Canis lupus familiaris: one gene and its partners. The protein of the gene in region 1 purifies or fractionates together with the protein of each later gene. This does not show direct contact. Links are inferred from orthologs where the notes say so. Each region holds a gene or a part of one and is shown in the gene's direction. Other genes may lie near its edges.

What was found.
Region 2: the proteins of CDH1 (region 1) and PLEKHA7 purify together in Homo sapiens (co-immunoprecipitation; 3 studies listed by BioGRID and IntAct, with this or other methods). This does not show direct contact. The link is inferred for Canis lupus familiaris from reciprocal best matches to the Homo sapiens genes CDH1 and PLEKHA7.
Region 3: the proteins of CDH1 (region 1) and SRC purify together in Homo sapiens (affinity purification with western blotting; 5 studies listed by BioGRID and IntAct, with this or other methods). This does not show direct contact. The link is inferred for Canis lupus familiaris from reciprocal best matches to the Homo sapiens genes CDH1 and SRC.

What each region holds. Positions count from the first base shown.
Region 1 is NC_049226.1:81,354,811-81,358,456, reverse strand, and holds part of CDH1 (cadherin-1 precursor), read left to right. Parts: intron 1-1,136; coding exon 1,137-1,381; intron 1,382-3,646.
Region 2 is NC_049242.1:40,307,261-40,311,006, reverse strand, and holds the start of PLEKHA7 (pleckstrin homology domain-containing family A member 7), read left to right. Parts: upstream 1-1,499; 5' UTR 1,500-1,552; coding exon 1,553-1,635; exon of another isoform or gene 1,636-1,665; intron 1,666-1,728; coding exon 1,729-1,805; intron 1,806-1,892; coding exon 1,893-1,950; intron 1,951-3,746. UniProt on the Homo sapiens protein: Required for zonula adherens biogenesis and maintenance. Acts via its interaction with CAMSAP3, which anchors microtubules at their minus-ends to zonula adherens, leading to the recruitment of KIFC3 kinesin to the junctional site.
Region 3 is NC_049245.1:26,580,161-26,583,806, forward strand, and holds part of SRC (proto-oncogene tyrosine-protein kinase Src), read left to right. Parts: coding exon 1-140; intron 141-1,591; coding exon 1,592-1,747; intron 1,748-3,646. UniProt on the Homo sapiens protein: Non-receptor protein tyrosine kinase which is activated following engagement of many different classes of cellular receptors including immune response receptors, integrins and other adhesion receptors, receptor protein tyrosine kinases, G protein-coupled receptors as well as cytokine receptors.

The sequences.
Region 1 (3,646 bases):
GTCCCCTGGTGTCTTCTCAGAAGTAGATCAACATGGCATTGGCAGGCTGGGGGTGGGCAGCTTTCCCAGGTTCTGGTGGACCATTTGGGGTTTGCAACTACTCTTCAGGCACATGTGAGAAGCTCCTACGCAGCCCCCTGAAATTGAGGAGAAAGAAAGTACCATCGGTTTTAAAAGGCTTTCTCCCTGAAACATTTGTCTACCCCCATATCCATTTTGCAAATGAGAGGAAAAATGGTTTACTGGTCTCTGCCATTTTGCCGGATTATTTTAGAAGTGGGACACATGACTTTGAAACCTGAAAATTTAAGAAGTTGGGTGACCTTCTTGTTGAGGTTACTAACAGCAGATCACTGAATTTGCCCCCAAACTTAGACTTCCTATTGAGCAAGTGAGCAAAGCCATTCATTTCTGCATCACTCACTACATAACCTTATTTCCCACCCAATATTTGATGTCACCATTTTCTATGCTACAAATGAAAGATAGAAGCTAGGAAAATGAGCCCCCGCCAAACACACTCATTCACAAATGTTCCCGGTGTACTCCTTACAGCGACTCTATTTAGTATTTCCTTTTCCTATGTATTTGGATGTGGAAACAGACCCACAGGGCTAGGAAATGGCCCACCCTGGCTTTGTTTGACCTTTTTGCCGCCTCATTGGAACCGCGTGTTGTCACTAAACTTAACTGAGGTTAGTGAGTTGGACAAGCAGGGTCTTCTGTCCATCTGCTATCACAGAGACAACACGTCGCATAAGATATGAACATTCTTACTGGTCTTGGATAATAAATGACTTCCAGTATGAGCATTTCTTACTGGGTTTTGCTGTGTGAGGTTTCATGTAGTTCGTTTTTATTCTTCTGCTAGGGTTCTCATCTTGAATGTGGTTGCTTGTTAGCTTTTGAAAAACATCCATGGCCGGGCCTCCCTCTCAGAAATTACGATTTACTGGATTAGGGTGCAAGCCTCCCTTTTCTTCTCTAGTTCTTAAGTTAATTCTTCCTAGCACAGCTAGGTTTGAGAACCACAAGATATTGTTAACCAACGACAATAGTTAAGGATTTAATCTTTTTTTTTTTTTTCCTAAGCTAACATAAAATAGGTTCTTTTAACTCATTTCTGTTCTCTTTAGGGCTTGGATTTTGAGGACAAGCAGCAGTATGTCTTGTACGTGACTGTGGTGAACGTGACCCCGTTTGAGGTCATCCTCTCCACCTCCACAGCCACTGTCACTGTGGACGTGGAAGATGTGAATGAAGCCCCCATCTTCATCCCTTGCCCAAAGGTAGTGTCAATCCCTGAAGACTTTGGTGTGGGCCAGGAAATCACATCCTACACCGCCGAGGATCCAGATACATATATGGAACAGAGGATAACGTAAGTAGGGAGATTTTTCAACAGACTAGCAGGAACTGGGGAGTTGTGTGTGTATGTGTATAAAATACTTAGTTCTTAGTATTTTATCATCGTTGGTCTGTGCAAGACCCTTCTCTTGTTTGGCTTGCCTTTTTTTTTTTTTTTTTTAAACTCCCATTCCCCACACCTTTTCCATTCCCTCCACAGCCAGCCATTCTACTGTGTTGCTTCTCGAAGTTCATGCAGTGTAGCTGAAGGGTGGTTTTCAATTACATACGAGGTGTTGTATTATAAGAAGCTCACTATTTCTTCTCCTTTTAAACTGGAAGGCACCTCTGTAATCTAAATCATACCCATGTGCAAACACATGTGCAAACCAAGAGCAACACCCCATGACCATGTAAGACAGAGAAGGTCCTTAATCTTTTGAGGGCTGGATTTGAGTAGGAAAAAACTATTTGAGCAAGCACAAATCCAAACATGAAACCTGTGTCTTGTGATTTGTAACGTGATTTCCCGGGAGAACAGAGCTTGTCCAATGTGCCCACTTCTTCTTCTCAGAGAAGTTCCTGCCTGTTCACATCTACTTTAGAGGAAACTGTAATACTGAACTATTTATAAAAAACATTCTACAAATCTGGAGTAGCATCTTGCTTACTAATTGAGTATATTCTTGTTTTGGGATGTGTTTGTGTTTTAGCATTAGTACTTTTGACTTGTGAAACTTCCAACTTCAAAAAGAGTTTAAGTGGGGCACCTAGGTGGCTCAGCAGTTGAGCATCTGCCTTCAGCTGTAGGGCATGATCCTGGGATCTGGGATCAAGTCCCACATTAGTCTCCTTGCATGGAGACTGCTTCTCCTCCCTCTGCCTGCGTCTCTGCCTCTCTTTCTGTGTCTTTCATGAATAAATAAATCTTAAAAAAAAAAAACAAAAGTTTAAGTGGGACTTCAGCTTTTAAGATTATTCTGGGAATTTTTTATGCTGATTCTGTCCTGAGCAAAAGAGCTCTTGAATACCTTTAGACCACATATGTGCCCTGTACAGGAGAACTATATAAAGGGTGCAGGTAGTGAGCTTAAGCCTGCTAGAATTGAATGATTAGGTCAGGGATGATGGGGAATTTTTAAATGGAGGCTGATAACCTCCAAGCCTTTTGATTGTTTTCAACATATTTTTTTTTTTTAATTTTTTAATTTATTTGAGAGAGGGAGAGAACATGAGCAGGAATGGGAGTTGGGGTGGGAGATGTGTGGGAGTGAGGGAGAGGAAGAAACAGGCTCCCTGCTGAGCAAGGAGCCCTGATGTGAGCCCCAATCCCATGACCCTGATATCATGACCTCAGCTAAAGGCAGATGCTTAAGCAACTGAATCACCTAGGTACCCCTAGTTTTTAACATTTACTAAAAAAACAAAAGGCAGGGACAACACAACATGACATGATGTGCCACTTGATGTGATTCAGTAGCATGCACAGAGTACACTAAGGAAATTTTTTTTTTGGAGGAAACAAAAGTTGGGACAGAATGTAGTCAAGTGTTAGGATCTGATTTCGAAGAAATGCAGAGAATGAAGAAACTTAAATGCCACAGGAAGCAGTCAGCCAAATACAGAATGTGGAAACTATATGACAAATGGTACTGTTTCTTCAAGACATGAATGAATGGCAAAAGGGTGGGGGGGCTGCTGTCGATTAAGAGAGTACTGAGAGGAAAATGAACCAATTGTAATGTGTAGACTACACTTACATATGGACTCAACAATCCAACTATAAAAACACCTTTGAGTCAATTAGAGATACTTGAACATGGATGTGGCATTAAAATGACATTAAGTAACTATTGTTATTTTTGCAGGATGTGTTAGTGGCATTCTGTTTTTTTTTTTTTTTTTTTTTTAACCTTTTCTATATAAGATACGTGCTAAGGTATTTACAGGAGAAACCTTTTGATGTCTGAGATTTGCTTTAAAATTCTCTGAAGTTTGGGAACCTGGGTGGCTCAGTGACTCTTGATCTTGGGGTTGTGAGTTTGAACCCCATGTTGGGTATAGAGATTTCTTAAAAATAAAATATGAACTAAGTTAAATACTCTCATTTCATGCATATATTCAATGTACTGCTCATAATCCAAGGATTCTTACTGTGGTCCAAAATATAAGGGCTAGTAAAGTGTGTGTGTGTGTGTGTGTGTGTGTGTGTGTGTGTTCCAAGTCCCAAGAAGGCTTTGTTAAATGCAGAGGGGAGTGGGTGAGTCCTTCCTAGCTGTTGCTTTCCTCATGGCTGCCA
Region 2 (3,746 bases), on another chromosome or scaffold:
TCCCCCTTTTTTTTTTTTTAACTCGTAACAGTCTCCTTCCCCAACACCACTGTCTTCTCAAGGATGGGCACCTTTATGATCTCTTCAACATCCCATACCCTTCTCATGAGCCTGTGTTTGCTCTCCCATCCTTTCCCTCTGGGGTGCTCTCTTCTCATTCAAACCTGACCATTCTTTCTGGGCACAACTGGTTTCCACCTGCCTGGGGTGCTTTTCTGAATAACAGTGCCTAGGCTACCTAGAGTCTCCTGGGAGCCTCTCCCCACCAACTGCAGCCTATACCTCTGGAAGGTTGGGCTTGACATCTCCCAGAGTCTAGCTTCCCCTCTGTCCGCGCTCAGCATACAGGGGTGCCAGTGTGGAGTGTGTCTTAGGCACTTTTTCAACATTTATTGAACGTGTACACGAGTCAGGCACTGCTCTAAGCACCGGGAATGTGGCAGTATATGAGACAGAACTAGGTCCCTCCTCTCCGCCCTCTGACATTTTAGCCTGTTGCTGGTAGCTCAGCCTACAACATAGACAATAAGCACACACACGCACAAGGATGCCAACTAAGTGTATACACGTAATGGAATAGACAGTGGAGGGAGGAGGGAAGAGGTCCCCTTTGGATCAAAGGGGTCAGGGGAGGGATCCCCCAGGAGCTGAGATTCCAGCATAGGCCTGACTGTGAGAAGGCTCCAGCCATGTAAAGAACTTTCCAGAGGCCCCAGAGAGGCCCAGTCTGGCGCTTCTGCTCTTCTAAAGATAGAGGAGATGCAGCCGGTCCACAGCGTCTGTCACTTGACAGGAACTAAAGGCAGACAGAAGCCTAGGATCCCAGCAACTTCGGGGCTGTGTGTGTGTGTGTGGGGGGGGGGGGGGGGGAGGACCCTGCACCCTCCTTCTTCGTCTCCCAGCTGCAAACCTGGGGAAATAAAATCTCGCTTGGCCGGTATTCATGGGCCACCTGCCGGGGGCCAGGGGCCAGTTAAGCACTTTCCAGCTTTGTGACTTCACATACTCTACACGACAATCCCTCGTGATACTTACTATAAACTTTATTTTACAGCGGAAGGAAAAAAACAAAAAACAACCACCGAGGCTGCCCAATATGGATGCAACCTGTTCCGATCTGCGCGGGCCAGAAAGCGGAGTTCGGTTTCCTGGAGGCGGGAGGTCCGCGGTGGGGGTCGGGTGTGTGTGGGTTCGGGGCGCACCTGCTCCCCGGAGTTTGCCCGCCGCGCCCCGGCAGCGGCCCTGGGCCCCGCCCGGGTCTCGGCGGGGCCTCCGGGCAAGGGGCGCGCGGCGGGGCGGGGGCGGGGACGGGGACGGGGACCGGGACGGGGACAAAGGCCGCGGCCGCCGCGCTCGGGTCGGGCCGAGTCCCGCGGCCGTGCAGGCGCTCGGGGCTCCCGGGACCAAGCCGCGCGCCGCGATGGAGCGCCCCGGGGCGCCGCGGGGGCCCGCGCAGGCCGAGCCCGCCGCCCCGCCCCCTCCCCCCCCGCCCCCGCCCCCGCCCCCTCCCCCTCTCCCGGCGGCGGCGGCGGCGGCTCCGCGCTCGGCGAACATGGCGGCGGCGGTCGGGCGGGACACTTTACCTGAGCACTGGTCCTACGGCGTGTGCCGGGACGGCCGCGTCTTCTTCATCGAGTGCGGCGCGGGGGCGCGGGCGGGGGCGCGGGCGGGGGCGGGGGCGCGGCGGGGGCGCGGCGGCGGCGCTAACAGGTGCACCTCTCTCCGCAGCGACGAGCTCCGCCGCACCACCTGGCTGCACCCGCGCACCGGGGAGCCCGTCAACTCGGGCCACATGATCCGCTCAGGTGGGGGCCGGGCCGGCGGGGGCTGGGGGCTGGGGGCTGGGGGCGCCCGGGGGCTCCAGGTTGACCCGGCTCTCTTGCTTCCCGCAGACCTGCCCCGCGGCTGGGAGGAGGGCTTCACGGAGGAGGGCGCCAGCTACTTCATCGAGTGAGTGGCCCGCGCGCCGCGCCGCTTCCCGCCCGCACCTGTGCTGTGCGCGGGGTCCCCGCCGTCCCCGCCCGCGCGGCCCGAGAGGCTGGGCGCGCACAGAGCCGCGGCCGCGCCCCGCTGGGGTCCTGGGCGCGGGGTCCGGGCGGGGCCGCCGGCTGCCCCCCCCCCCCCAGCACCCCGGGTCCTGCACCCGGGCGGGATTCGGGCGCGGGGTTAGGGCCCCGGCGGCGGCGGCGCGGGCTGGGCCCGTGGAGCTAGGACTTGCGCCCGGGGTCCCGGACGGAGCGCGGCGGGGAGAGGCGCAGGGAACCCCCGGGAGAGGCCTCGGGCGTCCACCTGGTTCCTGGGGCGACGGTGCAGCGTCGGGACCGCGCCCCCTCCCCGCCTGGAGCGCGGGGTGCGGGGTGCGGGGTGCGGTGGGGGCGGGGAGGGAGCCCCTCAGCCCGAGGTGCTGCTCGGACCCCCGCGGCGCCCGGCGGGACGGTCACTCCTGCCCCCTGGAGCCGAGCGGCACTCGTTCAGGCAAAGCCCGCGGGCGTCGCGCCCCGCCGGTGGCCGCGGACCCGGGCGTGCGGAGCTGCGGCCCCGGGGCTAGGTTAGGGCCCCGCCCCGCCGCCCCCGCGCTCCGGCCCGAACTTTCCCGCGCGCGGCGGGTACCTGTTGTCTCGCTGGAGCACCCGGCCGGCGTGCTCGCCAGTCGACCCCCGGCAGTCGGAAGCTGCGCTTGGTCCTCAGCCCGGGGCCTGGCACAGAGTAGGCCCTCGGGAAATCCTCGTGTGCGGAATGAATGAACTAGCCAAGGGCTGCGGCTGGACGGTGGTCTGACAAGTAGCGTCACTTGGGGGGGAAGGGGGGGCTGCGAGTCCACCAGCTCGAAGCGCTGCTCGTCAGTAGTAGAGCAGCATAGTCGGAGCTTGATGGTCTCGGAAGATCCTGGATCCCCCCTCCCTACTTTGGGCTCTTGCAGGATGTTTGAAATCCTGGTGGATGAGATGTGTACAACTGAACACTAGGGCTCTGGCTGGGGTCCTGCCTCATGTCTGTGTTTGAGAGAGAAGTTGGGGAGCTGGTGAAGACCTCAGAGCCCCTCAGTCATGGGCCTGGCTGGTCATAACTGCATTTATTAATATTTATTAGATTTCTCCTCGTGTGCCACACATTATTCTAAGCATTGGAACCACAGAAGTGAGTAAGGCAGACAAGGTCTGGATGCTCAGGGGGCTTGCAGTCTAGTGGGGAGAGGGAGCAGAAAATAAGTTAAAAACCAAGAATAGGATCCCTGCGTGGCGCAGCGGTTTGGCTCCTGCCTTTGGCCCGGGGCGCGATCCTGGAGACTCAGAATCGAATCCCACGTCGGGCTCCCGGTGCATGGAGCCTGCTTCTCCCTCTGCCTGTGTCTCTGCCTCTCTCTCTCTCTGTGTGTGTGACTATCATAAATAAATAAAAATTTATTTAAAACAAAACAAAACAAGAATAGGGCAGCCCCATGGCTCAGCGGTTTAGCGCCGCCTTTAGCCCAGGGCGTGATCCTGGAGACCCAGGATCCAGTCCCACGTCCAGCTTCCTGCATGGAGTCTGCTTCTCCCTTTGCCTGTGTCTGTGCCTCTCTTCTCTCTCTCTCTGTGTCTCTCGTAAATAAATAAATAAAATCTTAAAAAAAAAAAAGAATAATGTCAATGGTGACTACTGTGCAGAAAATTAAAATAACGTAGTGTGATATCAAGTGACTGAGTAGTGGTGTTGGATTGAGAGGTCAGTAGTGGTGTTTCTCAATAGGTGACATTTATGGTAAA
Region 3 (3,646 bases), on another chromosome or scaffold:
CCTCTCTGTGTCGGATTTCGACAACGCCAAGGGCCTCAATGTGAAGCACTACAAGATCCGCAAGCTCGACAGTGGTGGCTTCTACATCACCTCGCGCACACAGTTCAACAGCCTGCAGCAGCTGGTGGCCTACTACTCCAGTGAGGGCCAGCAGAGCGGATGCTGGGAGGGGGGGCCTTTGGGGCCAACCCGGGGCTGGGGCTCTTGTTACCCTGGGAGTGTGGAGCTCCTTTGTCCCCCTGCCCCTCCTCTCCCTTCCCTCTTCCCCCTCCTTTCCTCCCCCCCTTTTTCGTCCTGGATCCTCCCGTGCCCTCCTCCCACCAGGCCCATCCCCCCTCTTTCTCCCCCTCTGCAGCTGGCTGGAGAGGAGGGCACTGCCTAGAGGGGAGCAGGGAAGGGAGGGGGGCTGAGGCTGGTGTCGTTTGTCTCTGCAGCCCTAGGACCGGTCTGAACTGGTTGCTGGGAGGGGAGGGGGCGGCTAGACCGCTGCAGCCCATAGCCCACAGAGGGAGGAGGGAGTGGGAGGGAGCATAAGTGGCTGCGTAGGGAGCCAGGGCGAGGGCTTCAGGTACACACACACACATACACACACACACACACACACACACACACACACGCGTGCGCGCAGGTCATGGGGGGGAGCATGCATGCAGTGTCTGCACATTTCGGGGCTTCCCTGGGGACACCGAAGGCTCAAGGGTCTGTGTGTACTCAGGTGGGTGGGTCTCTGTTGGTGCCTGTGTGTGTGGCCGTGGACTCTGTGTGCAGGTATGGCCTAACTTGAGAGTGCCAGTTCGTGCCCATCCTGTGCCACCCTCCTCTCCTTCTGCTGGGCCGCCTGACACCCTCTACCATCTGCCACCCCTCTGTCTCCTTGGCTCTCATTCTGCAGTTCATTCTGCACACTGTTCCCCCACAGCAAAATCGATCTCAGGATAGAGACCCCCAAGTGGCTGCTCTAAACCGGGCTGGCCTCCCTGCCTTACCTGGGGCCCCTTGCCCCCGTTCACTCTCTTGCAGTGCCTCTGGCCTCCTTTCAGTTCGTGCAACCAGAGGCTTGTTCCTCTCCCAGGGCCTCTGCATGTGCATGCGTAGTGCAAACCTGCTGTTTGGAGTGGTGGGCCTTAGTCAACCACTCACTGTCCTGCAGACCCAAGCTCAGGGGCCACTTCCTCAGGGAAGCCTTCCCAGACTCCATCCAACCCATCTGCTGTGGCACCCATGGCTCTCCTCCGTCACACTTGTGGCCGGGAGGTGATTAAGGGAGGTGGGGCTCACTTGGCACTGTGAGCTCCCCAAGGGCAGGATTCCACTGGGCTTGTCCGGCACTGTGTCCTTGCCACTGACCGGGGTGGCCACCCTTTAAAGTCTGCTGAATGAATGAATGAATAATTCGGTGAGCATGTGCATGAGGCAGTGTGGGCCTGTGTGGGGTGAGGGTGTGGACACTCAGGTGTGGATCCCTGGCCTCAAGGGCATCCTTTGTGTCCCCAAAGCCTGTGTGTGTACCATGTGTATATCAGACCGTGGGACGGGGAGGTCCCAGGGCAGACCCCCTGCCTGAACTCTACCTCCCTGCCTCTGTCTTCAGAACATGCCGATGGCCTGTGCCACCGCCTCACCACCGTGTGCCCCACATCCAAGCCACAGACTCAGGGGCTGGCCAAGGATGCCTGGGAGATCCCTCGGGAGTCTCTGCGGCTGGAGGTCAAACTGGGCCAGGGCTGTTTCGGAGAGGTGTGGATGGGTAAGGCCTTGCCTCTGCCCCCAGAGGAAACCATGGTCCCCTTGGGGGGGCTCTGGTGTCCCCAGTCGAGAACCAGGGAGATGTCCATCCCATAGGACAGCTCAAGGTCCCAGGGCTCCCCCACAACCCTTCACCTCCATGAGTCTCAGTTGCCTCTGCTGAACAGTGGGCTCTATTTTTTTTTTTTTTTTTTTTAAGATTCTATGTATTTATTCATGAGAGACACACAGAGAGAGGCAGAGGCAGAGGGAGAAGCAGGCTCTCTGCGGGGAGCCCAATGTGGGACTTGATTCCAGGATCCCGGGATCACGCCCTGAACCAAAGGCAGACATTCAACTGCTGAGCCACCCAGGTGCCCCCAGTGGGCTGTGTTTTAAAGGTGGAGCTCCCCCACACCTCTGCAAACCATGGCACCTGTTTGCCGAGAGCTGCTTGGGGCTGGGCATCCCGATTCCCCAAAGATGCTGTGTGGTCCAGGCCAGGTGGCTCCACTGTGAGTCTTAGTCCTCCTCAGTGTAAAGTGGAGATGAGGATAATAGGACCCACCCGCGGACTGTGAGAGAACGCTGGCCCAGTGTGCATCCACACGTTAGTGCTTAGCCGCGGGACGTGAAGCCTCAGCTCTCAGAGGGAGTGCTTGGAAGCACAAGGTCTGGCATGTTCTGGGCCTGTTCACGATCTCCTGTCTAACCCTGGAGAAATGGCAAAACTGTCCTTGAAAACAAACACCATGAAACCCTGACAAAATGCAGGCACCCTCTGCTTGGTTCCTGCTGCCACAGAGGAATCAGGGAGGTTGGTGTGAGACAGGCAAGACAGTCTTAAGCCCGTGGCTTCAGCTGGGGAATCATCATGTGCCGTCATGTAAGCCCCAGTGTTCACTTGGCACCACTGTCTCCACTTTCCTCCTCTCAGGGGAGAGCAAGGACAGTTCCTGGGTGGGAGGCCCTGCAGGGACACAGGCCTGCAGGCTGGTCAGGCCAAGTCAGGAAAGGGGAAGTGCTGGCTTTTAGCTGGGGAGAGGGGAGGGGGATGTTCCGGAGACTGCAAAGACTCATTCCTGGCACACGTGTGTGGTAGTAGCTGTGGACACTGCAGGTAGACTCATGAAGTGGCAGGTACAGATCCCCAGACATTGTGCTGGAGGTGCCCCAGAGGTAGGCCTGGGCCCCCACTCTCAGATGGAGGCCCAGAGACTGGGAGGAATGGGCCCAGGGCCACTCATCAGAGGACCTTGGGTCCAGTGTGCTAAGAACTCGGATTAAACACGCTGCTCTAGCACACAACTTCCCCCAAGGCCTCTCAGTGTGAAAATCCAGATAATAATAAAATGACAAGTGTAACTATTATTTACCGAGCCCTCACAGTCGGTTGGGCCCAGAGCCTAAAATCTCATTTAATTCTCAAACAACCCCGCAGGGAGACACTATAACATCTGCATTTTCCAGAGGAGAAGACGGGCTCAGAGAAGGGAACTGACTGGCCCACGGTCTCACTGCTGTCAGGAGGCAGAGTTGGGCTTCAGACCCTGGCCAGTCTGACCTTCACGCCCTCTGTGTCTGGTCCAGGCCTTGCTTTTTAGAGAGCATGCCTCTCGTGGAGGTGGCTTTGTCCTGAGGCCAGCTCTGCTTCCCCCGCCAGCCCCATTCATTTGCTAACTCCTGACTCACCTCCTGTGTGCTGCCCAGAAGGAACACGGTCACTCAGGAGAGAGTAGTTGAGTTTTGGGGCCATGATTGTCCATCTCTTTGGTGAAAGTGCTGCTTTTTGGGACATTCCTAATAATGGCAATCCCAACAAAAGATCAACGGCCACTGTTTCTTGAGTGTGTACCAGAGATTCATTCCATCCTTTTAATAACTCCCTGAGGAGTGGCCTGTCGTGGTTCAGAAAGGGGCT